Lepisosteus oculatus: one gene and its partners. The protein of the gene in region 1 interacts with the protein of each later gene in a pairwise test. Links are inferred from orthologs where the notes say so. Each region holds a gene or a part of one and is shown in the gene's direction. Other genes may lie near its edges.

Region 1 (3,755 bases):
TTAAAACTTCTGGATGCAGACAAATATCTGCAGGGTCTGTAATGTTTGCAGTTACGTTATTGTATTACTTGGAAAGAAATCTTCACAACAGGCCCTTGTTCCACTTCTTTATTTTTTCATATGTGATGTTTTGGTTTAATTTATATTACATTTAAAATAAACCTTTTTTTTTAAGTATCACAGTGTTGTAATGCAGTTATTAAAACAAGAACAGTTGTGTTTTTTATGCACAATGCTGATTAGATTATACACATACGTGACTATCCATTCCATCACAGATGTTAATGCATCCCTTTCACCTGTTTGGCAAAGTAATAAGAGTTATTGCCATTTTGGTTGTTGGACATGAATGTGGTATCTCATCTAGAGATGTTCTCATCTAGAGAACATCTAGAAAAAAAGGTAATCAACTTATAACCAATCAATTTAAAGAAAATAATTCACCAACTACACAGTACATCACATTGTGAATTAACTAAAAGGAAAAAAAATGTGTTATCCTAAATGATATCCTTTCTGATAAATAGACAAATCGGAGCCGTGCGGTCAGAAACGTGGGGGTAATCCATCACTTTTGTCTACTGGAAATTGACGTTTATCCGCATTTAAATGCGCTTTAATCTCTTACTACTGTTCACTGAACTGCAGATACTTATCGAGTGGTTTTCATTTCCACATAAGCTCTCCATTTTTTTTCGTTTAAATTTCCCGTCAAGTGCCTTTTTATAGTCGAGCAAAGAAATAAATTCTACTAATCGATGTTTTCCCATTGAGATACCAGAATCCCCAGATTCGTATACAAATACTTGTGAAATTACACATCGTGAAGAATTCAGCACTTCAATCTAAACAGAACATATAGTTTGTTTACTTGTGATTTGTTTTGAAATCACAAGTGAATTACAACGTTATATTTGTCTTTCAAAAATGTACACGCATACTTTGTTGCCGGACTGAAATATGCACCTTGCTATACCAAGCTGACACATCACTAAAGTTGTCTTTTCCATGGCAATGTCGCTTTGTGATGAGGTCATACAAATGCCGAGCAGGCAGTTTCGGAATCAGTGGTTGAGACTGTTGAAGTATATTGCTTATTGAGCTCTTAGCATTAAATCACTTTTTATTTTTTAATCGATTCATGAAACATGGCAACCGAAGACCCTTTTAAGGTAGGCAAATACCGGCAATACGACCCAATACCCTGCCAGCATCGCGCTCTTTCAGCTGCTGGTAATAAGCACGTTTTAACGTTACAAGAGTGTACAAGGGTAATGCACCGTACCTTTACGAAAGTGTGAAATTCGCTGCCATTATGCTAGCCTGTCAAAGTTTTACAAATTTGGTCAACCTTAGCCTACTCCAGACAATCTTTACATCTAACCCACCGTAAGTCACTATCGACAGTCTCAATCAGATTAGTTTTTTTTTTAGTTGCAAGCAAAACGTCATATCTAGAAAGCCAGATTTTGATATTCGGTACCTTTCTTTCCCTTGAACCAAACTCTTCCTTTATCGGACAAACGTCGCACCCGAGAGGTCAAATACTGGTTCCTGTTTGATCTGTCTGCTAATACATTTTCAGGTTTCCTCGCTCAAAGGAAAAGTGGCTCTAATTACTGGAGCCAGCTCAGGAATTGGGGCAGCAACCGGCATTCTGTTTGCCGAACTGGGAGCTTTGCTGGCGCTTAATGGGCGTGATGTGGAAAACCTGACCAAAATAGCCCAGCAGTGCACAAATGCAGGAGGAACAGAGGTAAAGAGCTGATTTGTATATTATATATTTCTGTTGTGGCCCGTCCGATCCTCAACAGTAAACACCATCAAGCAAATGAGGGCTGATCTTGCTCAATTGCTGCAGAAGTGTTCCTGTAAAAACACTACCTAAAATACCCAGACGTTTCTTAGAGAGATTATTTTGGAAGGAAGGGGCTAAATCTCATGTTTCAGGACTGCTGATTAAATTTAACCTGGCTCGAGTAAGACGGGCAAAGAATTAGGCCTCCCTCACAAAATAATTTCCTAATAAAAGTAACGGCCCAGGGCTTTTTCCAGAAGAAAACTCTACACCCTGGAAAAGACAATATTTACCTCTCTCTTACTTTATCTGTTGTCTGTAGCTCAAGAAGAATACTATTCCCAAAGAGTCCCTTTCCCTAACTTTATTATTATTAATATAATAATAATCATGATGGGTGAAAACCAAGGGTAAATTTGGCCAGGATGCCGGTGTAACACCCCTACTCTTGTCAAGAAACTCCCTGGAATTTTTAATGGCCACAAAGAGACAGCACCTTGGTTTTACGTCTCATCTGAAGGATGGCACGTTTTTACAGTGTAGTATCCCTGTCACTATACAAGGTGAGCGCCCCCTACTGGTCCCAATAATGACTCCTTCCAGCAGCATTCCCAGGAGTCTCCTATGCAAGTACTGACCAGGCTCACGTCTGCTTAGCTTCAGCAGGCTGCTAGTTGTGAGTTGCAGGGTGATATAGATGCTGGCTTAAATTTAATTTAAATGTTTAAAAAAAGGTTTGACTCTTCTTGCAATAATCAATACACCATACAACCTGATCTGTGCAATGGAGGCCTTTAAAATCCTGCCCAATAAAGCTAATACTTATGGACAAATCCACAGGTATCTGTACACTGTCTCATAATATAAAATCATCTGAGTACTACACGTTGATGTAACGCAGCACCAAGTTTCAAGCATTGTTTATAGAATTATTTTTCATTGTTAATCCTAAGACTAAGGAAAGAAAAAACAATGTTCATTATTCACCTCTGTTAGTATAGCCTAACAAGAGAACAGGTAAAGGTTTATTCCATGCTGAAAGGAATAGCAAGGAAGAGATGCAACGTTTCGGCGATGAAGGCTTCTTCAGACGTAGAGGCTCCACAGCCGAAACATTGCGTTTCCTTTTCAGCATCGAATAAACTTTTACTTGTTCCTTTGCAGCTTACGCATGCTGATGCAGCTACCTACTCGAACATAGTCTAACAAGAGCTCAGATTCCCTTGTGGGAATGAGGGTTAAAATAACCTGCACCTATAATATACAGTATAACAATATCTGAGAATATTTGGGACCATTTCAGAACATGTGGGCATATTTGGAAGGTTCGCCTGTAAATTTCGATTGTCTCTTTATGAAAGTGTTGGAATCTGTGTGAGACTTTACAGGGAGACTGAACCACTCACAGTCCCTGAATCTGTGTGGTCCTCTTTAGCCACTGTTAGTGCCTGGCGACTTGACGGATGAAGACACAGTGAGGAAGACTATCGAGAAGACCATTGCTCACTATGGGAGACTGGACGTGCTGGTTAACAGCGCTGGGATCCTGGCCATGGGCAGCATCGAGACTACAGACATGGCTCAGTACGACCGGGTCATGAACATCAATGTCAGGTAAAGAATGAAACCAGCTTTAGTTAATTAGTGTGATCTGATATTTGGCAAAATGTAGTGCATTTTTATGAAGCTTATCCTTTCAGCACCTTGATTATTAAAGGTGAACTGCAGTCCCAGTCTCTCAGACTGGTTATTAAATTTCGACAACACAATAAATTCATTGACGTTAAAGAAAAATGTTATACATTTTGACTTACAGTAAGCACAAAATTGTGAGCTTTGTGAAAGTACTGTAAGTCACCATGTTATCGCAAACCACAGGTTTCGCTACATGCGCGAGTTCTCACAAATGGCAATATGTGGCCCTTCCTGTTCACTAGTCACTGTAATGACTAATGTA
Region 2 (3,755 bases), on another chromosome or scaffold:
AAAACCAACTTTGGAGGACTTCTTTATTTGTTATTTTTCGCCCTTTCATTTTTGTTCTTATTAGACAATACCAAAAAAAATTTTTTACAAAAAATAAATTCCTACTAATATTCTTAACATCCAGTGCCATTCAAGTATGTCTCTAATGGGCCCCAAACATTCCTATACTCATGAACCTTCCCATGTAAATTATATTAAATCTCTTCAAATTGTACTTGTTATATAGCCTCTTTAGTCCATTTAGTCCACCTTTGATAAATCACCAAGGATACATGTAATGGGAGTAAGTGGAACTGAGATATTTAGGTGCCTGAGAGCTTTCCCCACTGTGGAGGTCCAGAACGACTGTATGTGCTGACAATACCATAAGTGCAATAATGATCCTTTATGTGTGTTACATTTGGAACACATTCCTGTATTATGCCACTTCATCTTTTTCACTTTTTTCTGGGGGTATAACAGAGTCTGTTTAAAATTTTGTACTGAAGCAGTTTGTTATGTATAGCTCTAAATGGATAACTAACATTATGCCACACAGTATCTGGAGTCAATGTTGAACTGAAGCAACACTTGTGCAAAAGAATTACCATGCTTGTTTTCCTAGAGCAACGAGCACACCAAATGAAGTTTTATGCAGGACAAAAGAGTAGGGAATTTAATGTTAAATTTACATACAGTATAGCACTGTAATATGGATAAACACTCACCTTGCCGTTAGTCGGGGGTTCTTGTATGTAAATGTTACTCATCTTGGTCCCTTATAGCTTAAAACAACACAAAAGCCCCACACCTTAAAAAATCGCCCGCGATGTTCAACAAAAATATATAAACTCTTTTAGATTCACACTGTGAAAATCCCACAATCAACCTAAATTGAACGAACAGACCACCATGTTGCTAAAGTATAAAAAAAAACTGGCTTAACCACAATAAGCAGGGGGTAACTAAAGAATATTAACGTTTAAGAAGTATTTTAAAGAACAGTTTTAATATTTAATACATTTTTTAAATTAGAAAGTTTGTTCGTCTCTATTTATGTGTAATAAAATGAAATGTATTACTTAAAGCATCATTTTAAATGTAGCCTTTGGTTTAGCCCTGTTTTCTCAGTGTTACACACTAAATACACCCCACGGAAACCATGTGAACTCCGCTGATTAACTTTTCATTCCTCTTCTTTTTCGGAAATGTGATGTTGTAATTTTGGAATAATGTGTATGTTAAACGTTATACAAGTTTGAAAGTTAATAAATTATAACCAGACAGTAACTAAGCCTCTGTAGTTTATCTGCAGTGTACTTTGTGTAACTGTGAGTTTAACATGAGTATTACAGTAATTCAAAATTATCGTCACGTCCTACTTTGCTACGTTCATACTTTTTGCTTTAAGAGAAGCAACAACAAATTGATATTATTTATGTTTTTTTTGTTTTATTACAAAAGTCTAAGATATTTAATATGATGTAATACAACAAGACGATGAAAGTGATTCTTGTTTCCTATGGGAGTGCATTAATTGGTGGAGCTTTCGGGAAGTTTTGAAAGTGAGGTATACGCTCTGAATTTCGGAAAGCTTTGGTTTTATTTTACGGATATCTTTGTCTCGCCATGGCTCTTCCAGGTTGTTATCTTTCGAATCTTTGAAAATCATCTTGTGTGAATGCGTGCTGACAGTATACGTTTGGGGGGGAAAGCAAATTAAGGTTTGGGGAAGATACTGTCTCTACGCCTGCAGTGAGAATTTTCTAGCAATCCTGAGCTACAGTAGCTGTGTTTTGGGACTCTGAAGTACAGCAAGACGTACTGTAACTAAGGATGTTCTCAGTTTAATAGATATATTTTTATATTTTAGTTTTCATCTTATAAGCTAATTCCAGAGTTTGCCTAAAGATATCTGAGTGACTGGAAGCATACAACAAATAAACGTAGTCTTTCGTGTGTTCAGTGCAGAAGTCATGTATAGTATAGAATGAATAACAGTAAATGCCTGGGGGTCCTTGTGTATTCTCAAAATCTGAGCACGCTGCCATCACGGATCAGAGATTTTTTTTAGGGTGATCATTAATAAGAATGTAAAAAGAGGTTGCAGACTTTAAGCGGCCATTCGGCCCCTGTAACGCATTTGGCAGTCAGTAGCTGAACCGAGGCTCTCGTCCGCTCATTCCTTTCAAGAATCCGGGTTTGTTTAGTGTAAAGATATTAACTGAAACTGTTTCTGGAGCCGTATCAGAGTATGATTGTTAGATTTACAGTTCACTACGTTAATTGGAGTTTAAAGGCACTGTACATCGAGTGATTATTCACATTATGTTTATGTTTTGCTTAATACGCTTTTCATTACTACAAGCTTTTACATCCTTTTTTAGGTTTAGTTAGTATAAGACTTAAACTGGTGTAATTTCAGCATCCGTGAGGGCTGATTTCAGGTGTGTGAAGAGAAATTTCTGTGTCGTCTGCTGGCATTTTAGGTCCATGTGACTGTCTTGTTTTGGTGTAAACTAGTTATTTTCCATTGATAGACTAGCTGTCACTGCCCTGTATAAGTCTGGAAAAAACATTGTTTAATAAGGGAACAATTTAATCACACTGGAATTACGATTCTGAGATTAGTATATGGTCTAATGTAATGTATCAAGGTGCTTCCGTCCTAAATAATTCTAAATTAAGTGCCTGACATTAGCTAGGTAATGTTAGGTATGTTTTTGTTTAAGCCACTGTCTGTTGTGTTCTGAATTGGGTGCTTAGAATCTTGGGCTTCTTGAATAAAGTAATCTGATAAATTAATAGTAATAATAATTATCTTTCAGATCATAGCTCAAGGCTTTACAAAAGAACAACACTGCTATTTTACCCCCATAAACCCATTTTCCACAGTTCTGGAAAAGATTTGAGAGAGTTTCTTGGCTGAATTAAAGTTAAAGTAGTCTGGTTTTGAGATTAAATGAGTGCAGTAGTGCTTGTCTCCAGTTGTAGTGAGATCATTTAGAACTTGAGTCACATCTTAATTAAAAATAAGGAAAATACTAAGTCTTAATATTTTAGCACAAAAAAGTTCTGAATAAATAAAACTAAATATAAACATAAATCTACATTATTTTTAACCAAGCAGTTATCAATTAAAGTCTAAACAAGACTGATACATTAACTTTGCAGCGCTTACAAAACCATGTGTGGCTGTTTCTTTTATGGTGTATTTAGCTCAGGAAGTCATTTTCTGTCTTCTATTAAATTTTTAATAGAACACATTGATTTTGAATTGTTACTCTGAAAGGTTGTACATATTTGCTATTGACTCATTACATAAAAACATGTTGAATGTCACAGTACATCACAGAGATCTTTGCTGTAAAGAAAGACGTTGCCAACCCACCATTGACTTGATGAACTGTCGTTTGGTTTTTCAGATAGTTCAGATTATATCTTTACATGTGCCATTTGTAGAGGTTTTTTTCATTGAAGGTTTTAACCTTCATTTTAGCAATTCTGGTTTTGAGATTAAATAAGTGCAGTAGTGCTTGTCTCCAGTTGTAGTGACATCATTTAGAACTTTAGTCACATCTTAATTAAAAATAAGGAAAATACTTAGTCTTAATATTTTAGCACAAAAAAGTTTTGAGTAAATAAAACGAAATATAAAACTTATATATTATTATATAGTATAATATAATCATAATCATTCTGAGAAATGGTCCTGTAGTGACTTACACACAATAATTTTGAAACATTTGATTCAGCTTTTGAATCTTGAACTTCGA
Region 3 (3,755 bases), about 9.2 Mb from region 1:
AGGTTTAAGTCTGAAGCAAGTTTTCCCCTAACATTTGCCAGTACTTTGCTCCATCTATGTTCCCATCAGTCTTGACAGTCTTCCCAGTTCCTGCTGATGAAAAGCAGAAATTTAACATAAGACTGACACAACCATGCTTGACAGCAGAGATAAGGCTGAGTGTAAGATGCACTTATTTACAATAAAATTGTATAAATAAATAAAATTAGGTTAGCAGAGGATTGGAATACTTTTTTAATCATTATTTCTCCATTTTCCTTTCGTATTATCTGTTTACTTCTATTTACTCTTTGCTTTTTGCTTTGAATGTGTGGAGTACTTTCTCTGCACAAAAATATTAATTGCCACTTTAACGTGTCATGACTGCAAGCTTTAATGCAGACTGTGAGACTGGAGCAAAGGTCGGAATACGTTTGCAAGGCGCTATACAGTTGTTTATTAACCTTAATAGATTAATTTGATCATTACATTCATGAATTAACAGATGATTTGAATTTTAGCACAAGATACAATTTGAAGTTGCTTAGTTTCTTTATGAATTGTGATTAAACAGTAAAGGGACATCATTAAAATGGGTTTATGTGACTGCACTTTTATTATTATTAAAGCACAACTATTAAATACAGATTGATTATAATCCTGGGCCTGTGCAATAAGTACTGTATAGTTTGCCTAGTACCTTATTACAAATGGTTCAGTGAGTGGAGTTGACATCTTAGAATCTTAGTTAGAGCTGTTTTCTAATTGTGTGTGGATAAAGTGGTGTGAATATGCACAATGGAAGAAAAAAAAACTCCTGATTTGTCAGTACCAAGGCCCGGCCTGTTGGCACTCTGTTGTGTTGATCTGAGAGAGTGTAACACAGGCTGTCCTGGAAAAAAAAAGGAGAAAAAAAAGCTGGCAGGGGAGGAAACAGGAAGTGAAGCTTGTCATTGAAGGTTTCAGAGGGTGATTAGAAGCTGCAGCTGGGCTATCTGGTGACACCTTACCAGGGAGTCGAGACTTGCAGACAGCATCTCTGCGGTGTCAAGCACACAGAGGAAACATGTAAGTAGCCAAACCAAAAGAGGTTTGTTTGAAGATACTTCTTCCCCTTTTCTGCTTGCTCCTCTGACACAGTTGCATCATAAGGGATTTTTTTTTGTGTGTGTGTGGTGGAAAACCTTTTTGTACATGAAGAGCGCTACACCTGCAGTACTGTGCATTAGCAGAGTTCGGATGCACTGTATCAGCTGTAAGATTTTGACTTAAGACTTCTGAATCCGCAAGAGCATCACACCTGACGAGAAACCATCAAGCCACAGAATAAACATTTCTGTACTCACACGACAGATGAGTTCTTACCGATTTTGTAATAGTAAGCTGTTGTTTCTACACTACGTAGCATTAATAAAAACTATGGTTATTTACTTTAATGAAGAACTTTTTTGCGAGCAGCACTCAACTAGGATTATGAAATTATTAAATGAAATCCGATGTGTCAAGTGCCATTTCTGGGTTGGGCGACCTGTGCTGCTTTTTTACTGTAGAAAGATTCTACAGGTGTGCAAGCTCAAAGGTGTTTTTTTTTAAGAGGTGCTTCACCTCACATTGGACAGGTCTAATGCAGGATTTACGTGCCTTGTTTCCAATGTGTCTATGCGAGGCCTTGTCATTTTACTCTGCCATTCTTTTAACTTTTCCTGTGGAGGCTGGCGTTAATGAGGACAGTAGCTCTTGCTGTCTGACCCAATTCGCTGAAGACTATTGATTATTTCAGCATTCCTGTCTTCAAACGCATAAAAGATGTAGGGCTAGCGTACTAAGCCAGATATGGGAATGATCTCAATAGAGTAAGGGCTATGGTATAAAAGTTACATAAATTATTATTGAGGAACAGGCGCATCATGCTTCTATGAAATTGTCAATTTCGAAAATAAAATTTATATATACTTCTAAATGCGTGATGTGTTTCAATGCCTGAAATACATTTTAAAGGAAGGAATATTTTAATATCGTAACCTGTCAGGTAGAAAACAGGTAGCAGTGCAGATTGCATTTGGTATAATATAATGGGTACATTAATATTATTTTTGGATGTTCTAATGTAATGTATGTACAGTTACAGTTAGGATGTGTCCACTAGTTTATGAGCCAAACCCTGATTCATACTGGAGACAGTACTAATTTACATTTGGCCACTCATGTCCATATTTTCACAACAAAACTAAAAACGGGCAAGTATTTAAAATTATTGAAAGTGAATAAAATGTTTTTCACGGAAAATACGCACATTAATGTACGTCTGCATTTCAGAGTTTCTGCAAGTAATGGGGTAAGAAATATTTACTCAAGCCTGGCTGCAGTACCGTTTATAAAAATTGGCAATTCATCTGTGTGAGTTTTCAAAGTGAGAATGTGGGTTGCTATTATGAACTGGGGATTACATCATGTGTATTTAAAATGAAATATTTCTAGTATCTTGATTTAAGGAGTTCACTTCTGTCATTAAATATAAAATAGTGGCAAGCTCTGATCTTGTATAACTGTTATCTTGTAAAACCGTGCTGCGGTTTGTAATGGATTTCCAAATGCATAGATGTGAAACTAAAAATAGTTTGAAAAGTAATCTTGTAACAAAGCAGGGATAGCAGTGTGTGGCTCGGGGATTTATGTATACTTTTAGGAGTTATTTTCAGCTGTAATGAGTCAAGCGTAGCTCGTCTCAGTCCCTGGATTTAGCACCAGTCTATTGTGGGGCGATTTTCAACCACAAAGTCACACTTAACCCTCTTACTTCTATTTGCATCATTTCGAAGCAAGCTTAGGTGGCATTTCCTGTACCAGATGTAAAGCTTCTTCTAAGAATTTGTGCATTTTAGCTTTGATGGTGAGTGCTATAATTAAGAAGAAAAGTTTCCAGTTCATTAAAAGACGTGTTTTCTGCAAGGCAATAAAAAGACAGAAGCAGAGCAGCCCACATATTTAGTTCCTTATAATGCGAGGCAAAAAAAGAACCTGTTAATTTCTTAGTGTAATTATTTTTTTTTCTTCTTGTCGGTTTCTTTGTTCATATTTAGAGCGGTTGTCCGTTATCATTTTGCAGGTGGTAGTTTGATTGATTATGTTAATTTGTGCACTCCGGCTGTCTGGCTGAAAGGTGAAACTGGGCCATGAGACTGGGCCATGTCAGCAGCTGACTGCAGCTGGGATCCCCTGAGTGGAAGGGCACAGTGCTACACAGGCTAGGGTGGGCTTATTCAGTCAGAGCCCCCTCAGCTCTCGGCATCACAACGCCCCCTGCTGTCTCCTGGGCTCTTGCAGTTTGGCGGTGCTGGTGGTGAGGGACGTCCAGTACCTCTCCTCCAATCAGTGCTGAACTTCCAGTACTAGACCGTGTTGCCTGTGAAGTGTGAAACAAAACTAGCATCTTGAAGGCAGGCAGGTTGGAGGAGTCAGCCCACGGTTCCCCGTTCTCCCCTTGGTGCAGCTTACAGGGTTTCAAACCGTGGGTCGAAAAAACCCCCGGCCATCTGCTTCAAAATTGGGAGGGCACAACAAAAATACTGGTCAATTCAGAACTGAATAAAAAAAAATGTAAAACAGTAAAAACTTTCAGGGTGAAGCCATTGATATGAACTGTACAGTAGGTATACTGATCAGTGTGTTGCAAGGGCAAAATCTCTCATTGTGCCTGGTTTGCAGCATGGCAGGTCATTTCAGTCTCATGGTGTGTAGGAACAGGAAGCAGAATTTGTTGTCTCTCGAATGTGTAT

The links.
Region 2: the proteins of 3-oxoacyl-[acyl-carrier-protein] reductase FabG (region 1) and srek1ip1 interact in binary tests that used the Homo sapiens proteins (3 or more experiments, as listed by UniProt). The two-hybrid records come from large-scale screens. The link is inferred for Lepisosteus oculatus from reciprocal best matches to the Homo sapiens genes HSD17B14 and SREK1IP1.
Region 3: the proteins of 3-oxoacyl-[acyl-carrier-protein] reductase FabG (region 1) and nek6 interact in binary tests that used the Homo sapiens proteins (3 or more experiments, as listed by UniProt). The two-hybrid records come from large-scale screens. The link is inferred for Lepisosteus oculatus from reciprocal best matches to the Homo sapiens genes HSD17B14 and NEK6.

The regions. Positions count from the first base shown.
Region 1 is NC_090719.1:4,647,810-4,651,564, forward strand, and holds the start of 3-oxoacyl-[acyl-carrier-protein] reductase FabG, read left to right. Parts: upstream 1-1,009; 5' UTR 1,010-1,148; coding exon 1,149-1,172; intron 1,173-1,585; coding exon 1,586-1,756; intron 1,757-3,233; coding exon 3,234-3,412; intron 3,413-3,755. UniProt on the Homo sapiens protein: Catalyzes the NAD(+)-dependent oxidation of L-fucose, yielding L-fucono-1,5-lactone, which rapidly converts spontaneously to L-fucone-1,4-lactone. Can also act on D-arabinose and L-galactose, with lower catalytic efficiency. Does not use NADPH.
Region 2 is NC_090698.1:27,601,746-27,605,500, reverse strand, and holds the start of srek1ip1 (protein SREK1IP1), read left to right. Parts: upstream 1-1,509; 5' UTR 1,510-1,608; coding exon 1,609-1,621; intron 1,622-3,755. Other genes in the region: spliceosome-associated protein CWC27 homolog, read right to left, coding at 708-749. UniProt on the Homo sapiens protein: Possible splicing regulator involved in the control of cellular survival.
Region 3 is NC_090719.1:13,838,122-13,841,876, reverse strand, and holds the start of nek6 (serine/threonine-protein kinase Nek6), read left to right. Parts: upstream 1-949; 5' UTR 950-1,045; coding exon 1,046-1,047; intron 1,048-3,755. UniProt on the Homo sapiens protein: Protein kinase which plays an important role in mitotic cell cycle progression. Required for chromosome segregation at metaphase-anaphase transition, robust mitotic spindle formation and cytokinesis.